Oryctolagus cuniculus: one gene and its partner. The protein of the gene in region 1 purifies or fractionates together with the protein of each later gene. This does not show direct contact. Links are inferred from orthologs where the notes say so. Each region holds a gene or a part of one and is shown on either strand. Other genes may lie near its edges. The genes, in order: DYRK2 and UBR5.

The links.
Region 2: the proteins of DYRK2 (region 1) and UBR5 purify together in Homo sapiens (affinity purification with western blotting; 3 studies listed by BioGRID and IntAct, with this or other methods). This does not show direct contact. The link is inferred for Oryctolagus cuniculus from reciprocal best matches to the Homo sapiens genes DYRK2 and UBR5.

What each region holds. Positions count from the first base shown.
Region 1 is NC_091442.1:70,020,300-70,024,634, forward strand, and holds the start of DYRK2 (dual specificity tyrosine-phosphorylation-regulated kinase 2), read left to right. Parts: upstream 1-1,254; 5' UTR 1,255-1,658; coding exon 1,659-1,707; intron 1,708-2,259; coding exon 2,260-2,408; intron 2,409-2,838; exon of another isoform or gene 2,839-3,163; coding exon of another isoform or gene 3,164-3,223; intron 3,224-4,335. UniProt on the Homo sapiens protein: Serine/threonine-protein kinase involved in the regulation of the mitotic cell cycle, cell proliferation, apoptosis, organization of the cytoskeleton and neurite outgrowth. Functions in part via its role in ubiquitin-dependent proteasomal protein degradation.
Region 2 is NC_091437.1:127,610,470-127,614,274, reverse strand, and holds part of UBR5 (E3 ubiquitin-protein ligase UBR5), read left to right. Parts: intron 1-824; coding exon 825-1,093; intron 1,094-1,255; coding exon 1,256-1,467; intron 1,468-3,451; coding exon 3,452-3,682; intron 3,683-3,805. UniProt on the Homo sapiens protein: E3 ubiquitin-protein ligase involved in different protein quality control pathways in the cytoplasm and nucleus. Mainly acts as a ubiquitin chain elongator that extends pre-ubiquitinated substrates.

The DNA of each region.
Region 1 (4,335 bases):
GTGGGAGGTTGCTGTGACAATTGCCAACAGGAGAGGCGAGGCACTCCGCAGGAGGTGGCTCCCTCCCCCTGGGCTTTGCCTGCTAGGTCCAGCCAGGGCCGGAGATGGGGCTGGGCAGAGCAGAAAGCACCCATGTCCCCGGCAGAACCTCAGACACCTGGCATCTCTCAGGAAGGAAGTTCAGGGCGACTTTCTGCCCTCATCCGGGATTTGTCCGGTTCTGCCCCAACCTCCTCCCAGACCGGTGAAGTGGCAAAACTTGGTGACCTTTGGACAAAGGCGCACAGCGCGCCACCCAGGACGGGGGCACGGGTCCGAGGCGGGCGAGCACGTTTTCAGTCCACCAGGGAAAGGGAGGCCGCAGACGGCACAATGCAAGGGCAGACACATTCTGCACGTGCCTTGGAAGCCGGCGGGAGAGCTTGGTCTGCGAGGATGCGAGCAGAGAGGCAAGGCGCTGAAAGGAAGGTGTGTCTCTCCCAGCGGCCGCAGAGGGAAGGCTGGAGTTGCAAGGAAATGGGAGGCGTCTCTGGTGTTGATTTTTGCCTAGCAACCCACAGCCAACTGCTTCCCCGGCTGCCGTCCACGCGCGCCTCTCTGCCTCCCCCTTGTCCTAGCGACTGGAGAGCGGTCACTCGGTGTCAGTAAAGCGGGGAGGGAGAGTGTGGTGGAGGTGGAGGTGGCGGCGGGAGGGCAGCCCCCTTTGCCCGAGCTGGGGGTTCCCGGGCTCAAGGCGGCCCCGCCGCGGGGCTCGGCCATCCGCGGTGACCCGCGCACAACTAAGTTGTCCACGTGATGAACCGGGGGACGCGGGTCGTTAAGTCCCCGGGCGCGCTGCGGGGGAGACAGTATTGTTCGCGAGCAGCCATTAGGTCCGCCAAGCAGAAAATGCGGCCGTGTTTGGGGGCGCGCGGGGAAGGGGAGGGGTCTCTGCAGCGAGGTCGGTGGGTGGGGGAGGATGCGGGGGTAGGCTGCGCTCAGGGCAAAGGCGGGGCCCGGCAAGGGCTAGGGCAGCCGGGGAGGGGGCCAGGCGTCGGTGCGGGAGCGAGGGGCAAGGGGCCGATGGCGGGAGGCGGACGTGGCCGAGCTGTGCCCGGAGCCGATCCCGGCTGTGCAGGCGCCCGGGCGGCCGCGTGGGGGTGGGGAGCACGGCAGGGTGCGGGACTGGGCCGGGGGCAGCCGGGGGCGGGGCCTGCGGCGGGGGCGGGGCTGCCCTCCCGGGGCGCGCGCGGGCGCGGGCGCCTGGGCGAGAGTGCGCGGGGGCGCGCGCGCGCGCGAGCCAGGAGGAGGCTCTGGAGCTAGGCGGTCGGCGCGGCGCTGCCCGCTCCCCGCGCCCCTATGTGAGGGAATCGGGGAGGCCCGCGGCGCGCAGGGGAGGGCGAGGCATGAGCACGGGCCGGGGGGTGCTGCGGCCGCCCGAGGAAGAGGAGGACGGCGGCGGCGGCGAGGAGGAGAGCGGGGGGCTCCCGGCTGCGGGCCCGGGCCGAGGGGATGCAGCCGGCTGTGTGTGTCTGGCTGTAGCTGACGCGAGGCGGCCAGGCGGCGCCGGGGACCCGCCCGAGGGGCGACCGGGAGGCGGCGGCCGCCGCGAGAAGTAGCAGCGGGACCGGCGGCGGCGGAGACGGCAGCCCTGAGATGCATTTTCCTCTCCAGCGGCCATGTTAACCAGGAAACCTTCGGCCGCCGCTCCCGCCGCCTACCCGACCGGTAAGGAGGGCTGGGCCCCCCGCGCCGCCCCCGTCAGCCCCAGGCCAGCCCCGGAGCTCGTGCGGCCACCGCCGCGGGACCTGGAGCGAAGTGTGCGGTGGGGAGCGGGCAGCGGGCTGGCGGCCGGCGCGCCCTCGCCTCGCCTCGCCCGGCTCCGCGCATTGTTGCACGCGGCCCGCAGGCTCCTTCGCGGGAGCCCTCGGCCCCCGCCGGGCGGCGGCGCGCTGGGGGCCCGGGCGGGGTGCGCCGGGGCCGTCCCCCACCCGCGCTGTGAGCTCGGAGAGGCCGCTGCGCCCTCCTCGGCCCCGGCCGTCCGCAGCGCGGGCCGCGAATCCCCGGCCCGGCTCGCGAACTCGCGCGCCGGTGCCCGACTTAACTTTGCCGCTGTGGCGCCCCGCCCGTGGGGGCGCGCTGGGGAGCCGGGGCCCCGGCGGGTGTCTGCCACTGGAAGGAGGGGTGTTCTGCCCGGAGGGGCGGTGGGGGAGGTCGGGGTTCGGATGACTTTTTTCCGCCCCTGACCCTCTTTTGTCTCCTCCCGTGCGTGGCTCCCAGGCCGAGGAGGGGACAGCGCCGTTCGTCAGCTTCAGGCTTCCCCCGGGCTCGGCGCGGGGGCCCCCCGGAGCGGAGTGGGGACCGGCCCGCCCTCCCCCATCGCCCTGCCGCCTCTCCGGGCCAGCAACGCGGCCGCCACGGCCCACACGGTGAGACCCCGCCCGCGGGCGGCCACGGGTGGGGGGCGGCCTGGAGGGTTCCCTCGGGGCACAAGCGCCCGGGCTTCCGGGGCTCGGACGCCTCCGAGGGAAGGTCGAAGTGCGTGCGGCCCCGGTGACTTGGGCGAGCCCCAAACTGCAGCTACAAAAGGAAGATTCGTGGCGTGGGCCCCCACACTTCCCCCCGCAGAGCTCGCCCACCCCCAAGCTTGCCTTCCTCATTGTCGCTCTCCTTCTCCCTTCCTTATTTTTTCTGTCCTTGCTTCTCAGAGCTCCACGCCCTGACCCGGTAAACATCTGTCCTGCCCCCCCCCAACACACCCTCCCGTGGGTCGTGGCTATTTATAGAAACAGATATGTGTTAGGGGACAGTCAGGCTGTCCTGCTAGGAAAATCGATCCCCCCAAGAGCCTCCCAGGCCCGGCTGCAGCCAGCAGGGAGCCCCACCAATTGTCCCCCCGCGTGTGTAAGCATGTTTTATGAGTGCTACAGGTTTGAGCACAGCAGAAATTGTAATTAACATTAACAAAAATAAGCGCCACAGCAGCAGTCAAAACAAAACCAGCCACCCCGGCAGGATCCTGCAGTTGGGCATTATGGGGCCAGCCTTGCTCCGGAGGTGGGAAGACCAGGGCACCTGACAGGTGCTGTGTGCCCTCGGAGCCCCAGGAGGGAGGGGCCGGCCCAGCCTGGCCCGGCGTGGGACCAGCGGCCACCATGGTGGGCAAGCTGCCCTGGACTCCAGCATGTGCTTTCGCTTTGCTCCCAGCGAGAGCCCTCGGATGGAGACTGCCAGCTCCCAGGAGGTGATCTCAGGGTTCAGAGGTTTTGCAGCTTCCAAGCGGAACCACCTAAAATGGTTCTGCATGAGGGGTGCGATTTTGTTTGCCAAGTGAAAAGTTGAGTTCTAGCAAAGGGGAGCAGCTCTGGGGATGGTGGGTTCTGGGGAAACCTGTTTATCAGAGAATCAGAGAGGCAATCTAGGGTGCAGTTTGCACCTGTTAGAGCTAGGAAGCTGCTTTGTTATTTACCTCCCTTCTGACAACACAGCAGTTGCCTAATCAGTGTTGGATTGTTGATGTCAGGGAGAGTCTTGTTGGGAGGATGGATGATTCTGTATTTGTTAAATGTTCTTATCACACTGATGTTTTAGAATCTGCCATTGGTTTTAGGGGTTTGGGTTTTTTGTTTGTTTGGTTTGGAATCATCTGGCAATTTGGCAAATGTAACATCTAGGGTTTTTTTTTTCCCCCCTGTGTGTTGATATACTCACATGACGTGATGTGAACTGGAAAAAAAGTACTTAGTTTACAACTGGATTCCAATTTTGTCAGGGTGCACTTTGTGCCATCAGAGCCTCTTTACAATTGAAATGTGTAGTGAATGTAGGGAAGGCAGAGTCTCCCCTGGAGGAGCAGCCAGTACTGCTGCAGCCAAGACGCCCTGTGTATGTGCTTCTGAGGACTGGCCTGTTTCAGACATTATGTTGCTGCTGATTAGGTACATGCTTTCAGAACTGTGAATGTGGTTGGTCGTTGAGTTTGGATTTTATTTGTGTAACATCGCAGATTTCCTAGAACAGGAGAGTTAAAGGAATATAGAGTTTATCACGTTCTGCTCCTTTGATTTGCAGAGGAAGAAACAGACATGTTAACTGGTTTGGTCAGGATTCTCTAGTTAATTCCTATCAATAAACCCCACACCCTCCCGAGTGTGGTTTTGACATACTGTCCCACACTGGTAATCCTAGGAGATTGTATTAACTTCATTACAAGTGAAGAGCCTTTGCAGATCCGTATTCCCCTATGTCTTTCAGGTTTCTGTAAGTTTTTTAGTTTTTAGTTCCAGAGCAGTTAGGCCTGGGAGGAGTTGCTGTGGAATGACTGGGGGACAGGGGCATTAAGGAGAGAAAAATGAC
Region 2 (3,805 bases), on another chromosome or scaffold:
ACCTCCCTTCCCTTCCCCTGTGCGACCCCGCCAGTGTGAGGTCCAGAGTCATCTGTAGACATGCCACATGTCCTCTTTGGCAGAGGGGCAGGATACAGAGTCATCCCTGGTGGAGAACATTGTGTTAAATTCTTGCTTCCCTCAACACAAGCCTACCTAAATTAGTAGGGTTTAGGAAAACTTCTTTGCTCACTGATGACATGTTAGCAATTGATCAGACTGTTTAATAAAATTTGACAGAAAAATTGTATATATTTATGGGGTACTGTGTGATTGTGTTGTACATGTATACATTTTTGTCATGTCCAATTTGGGTAAATATACTTGTCCTTTCAAGCATTTAACATTTCTTTATAGTGAAAACATTACAAAATTCTACCTTCTAGTATTGTTTTAGATGGTGACATGTACAGTACAGTGTCTGTATTCATTCTGCTGTGCAGTAGAACCCCAGAACTTCTCATTCCTGTCTTGTAACCTGGTACCCGTCAGTCAGCCTTTGCTTACCGCTTCTTCCTTACTTCTCTTCCCAACCTCTGGAAATCACCATTATGCTTTTAACTTCTCTGAGATCACCTGTGTTTTTACATTCCACATATGAGTGAGATCATGTAATATTTGTCTGTCTTTGTATGCTTGTCTTATTACACTGCATAATGCTCTCTGTTCTATCCATGTTGTGCAAATGCTAGTTTTTTTTTTTTTTAATGCCTTAGTAATATTGCATTGTGTATATGTGACCATTTAGATTTACCTAAGTATATGCAGTGCCGGAGAAACACAATTAGCAACTGACTCATTGTGGTTGTCCTTTTTCCTTATAGCAAGTTCGGCGGGTTTGATTTATATTGATCCTTCAAACTTACGCCGGAGTGGTACCATCAGTACGAGTGCTGCAGCTGCAGCAGCTGCCTTGGAAGCTAGTAATGCCAGCAGCTACTTAACATCTGCAAGCAGTTTAGCCAGGGCTTACAGCATTGTCATCAGACAAATCTCGGACTTGATGGGCCTTATTCCTAAGTATAACCACCTAGTGTACTCTCAGATTCCGGCAGCTGTGAAATTGACTTACCAAGATGCAGTAAACTTGCAGGTATGAAACTGATGAAAAATTACTCATTTGAATACTTTTTTGCCTATAATTTTGAAAATTCTAGTATAATGGGAATAAATATGACAAACGTTGACATACTACTGCTGTATCGAATTTAGCTCTATTTGGATAGTTTTAACTATTTTAGTTTGGTCTTCATAGAACTATGTAGAAGAAAAGCTTATTCCCACTTGGAACTGGATGGTCAGTATTATGGATTCTACTGAAGCTCAATTACGTTATGGTTCTGCATTAGCATCTGCTGGTGATCCGGGACACCCAAATCATCCTCTTCACGCTTCTCAGAATTCAGCGCGAAGAGAGAGGATGACTGCGCGAGAGGAGGCTAGTTTACGAACCCTTGAAGGCAGACGGTATGAAATTCTTCATGAATATGCGTATGCTTAGACCATGGCCCTTGTACTCTAGAGTTAGACCTTGTTGAGTGCTGTTACAGATGCATTCTATTATGAAAGAGGAAGTAAGCACCTCCCATTCCATTAAGTATTTTACATTGTTCTGTAGTTGAAGCCAAATAAGTTCTAACCCAAACTGTGCTTTTACAATCCATTCATATCATCAGATTCTGACAGTGGAGACTTTTCAGTTTTGAAATTGTTGGTCCATATCCTTGTCTCATTTATCTCCCAGGCCTCTCCTGCCTTCCTTTTGAAACGGTCCTATTCACAGAAAAACTTTGACCATGACTGAGCATAAATGTCCTTGGTGCTCAAGAAGAAGTATACGTGATTACCAAAGTCCCTCGTGGCTTGTGCAGTCACGTTTTCTCCTCTGTCTCCACCAAGCTGTTGAATCATAGTTAAAAATACATACCTTTAGGTACTTAGGTTCTTTCTCTTCGTCCATAAAGTGAACTAGCACTTAACCTAGACATTGACCTCTTGAGTGACAGCTGTATCACAAAAGTAGAAAGGCCCTGTGCCTAAAGCCCAAGTTTAAGGATTTACCTCGCCCTCCCCTCTGGCTCAGGCTAAGCAACCTTGTCGTTTTGGTTAGATCATGAAGGAGGAAGGATGAGGCTCTAGAAAGTGCTTAGAAAAATTAAGGCTGTTTTAGAGCTCACGAGAGGTATTAGTTACTGAAGTAGGGCAGTGAAATCCTGGAAGGAGGGGAGAGAAGCCTTAATCCCTCTCTAGAATTTAGGGCCTTTCATGAGACATGGAGCAGGAGTTGGCAGAATTTATATTTGTATTTAGACCTGGACTCTGAATAGCGGGTGGGAAAGTTAAGAGAAAACTCCAGAAGGGTGGAATGGACACACTTTTAATTTGGTCGAACTGTCTAGGATGCAAAATTGGATACTTGGCAGAGATAGCTAACTAGAGACAGGTTTGGGAGGCAGCCGCTGTCCCAAGAAGCCTGTTCCACACAGAGGTGAAAGCCTTGTTTCTTTCAGGATATCCCTCCCCCAGAGAACAGGGAATTCTCTTATTGAATCCTTATTGGTAGGTGTATGTGTGTGTGTGCATGTGCACGTGTGTGCCTGCCTTTTCTCTCCCTCTCTCTCAGGATAGCTATATTGATATATAATTCATATACCATGTGTACAATTCTGTACTTTTTTAACTGTAATTATCATCCTAATCAATTTGGAATATTTTCTTCATCTCTGCAAGAAATGGTAGCAGTCATTCTCCATTTTCCACCGGTCTCTGCCCTTTGGCACAATTAGTCTGCTTTGTGTCTATGGATTCTGGATATTTGTGTAAATGGAATCATACATTATGTGGTATTTTGTGACAGGCTCCTTGCACATAGCTATCTAATGGTTTTAAGTTCACCATGTTTATCATGCATCAGTATCTCATTCCTTTCCTAATATTTCATTGTACAGATATATCATATTTTGTTTATCCATTTGTCAGTTGCTGGGCTTTTGACTTACTTCAGCCTGTTCAGTATTTTGCATAGTGCTGCCATGAGCTTGAATAAGTATTTTCACTTCTCAAGGCAGGTGTTAACTCTATTTAACCTTCTAAGACACTGTCACATTATTTTTCAAAGAAGAGGACACTCCGTAATAACATTTAAGAGTTTAATTTCTCTCTGTCTTCAGCAGCGGTCCATTTTTTATTATGCCCAACCTGCAGAGGTGTGACACTGGGTCTCTGTGGTTTTGGTTTGCATTTCCCTAATGGGCTATGAATGATAGGGATCATCTTTTCATGTATTAACTGGCAAGCTTGCATATCTTTGGAGAAATGTTTATTTACAGTCTTCTCTAGTTTTTAATTGGCTTGTTTCTGTTGGCTCATGAGTTCCTTTTTCTGGATATAAACTTCTTATCAAATACATAACTTGCAAAAATTCTGCCTTTCTCTTTTCTTTGTTCTGTAGACGTGCCACATTGCTTAGCGCCCGTCAGGGAATGATGTCTGCTCGAGGAGACTTTCTGAATTATGCGCTCTCTCTCATGCGGTCACATAACGACGAGCACTCAGATGTTCTTCCAGTTCTGGATGTTTGCTCATTAAAGCATGTGGCCTATGTCTTCCAAGCCCTTATCTATTGGATTAAAGCAATGAACCAGCAGACAACATTGGATACACCTCAGCTGGAACGCAAAAGGTGGCTATACTTGTGATTTCTTTTTTTTTTAGATCGAGATCAGGATCAAGCCAGGAGCTCCTCTGGGTCTCCCACGTGGGTGCAGGGGCTGAAGCACTTGGTCCAACCTTTGCTACTTTCCCA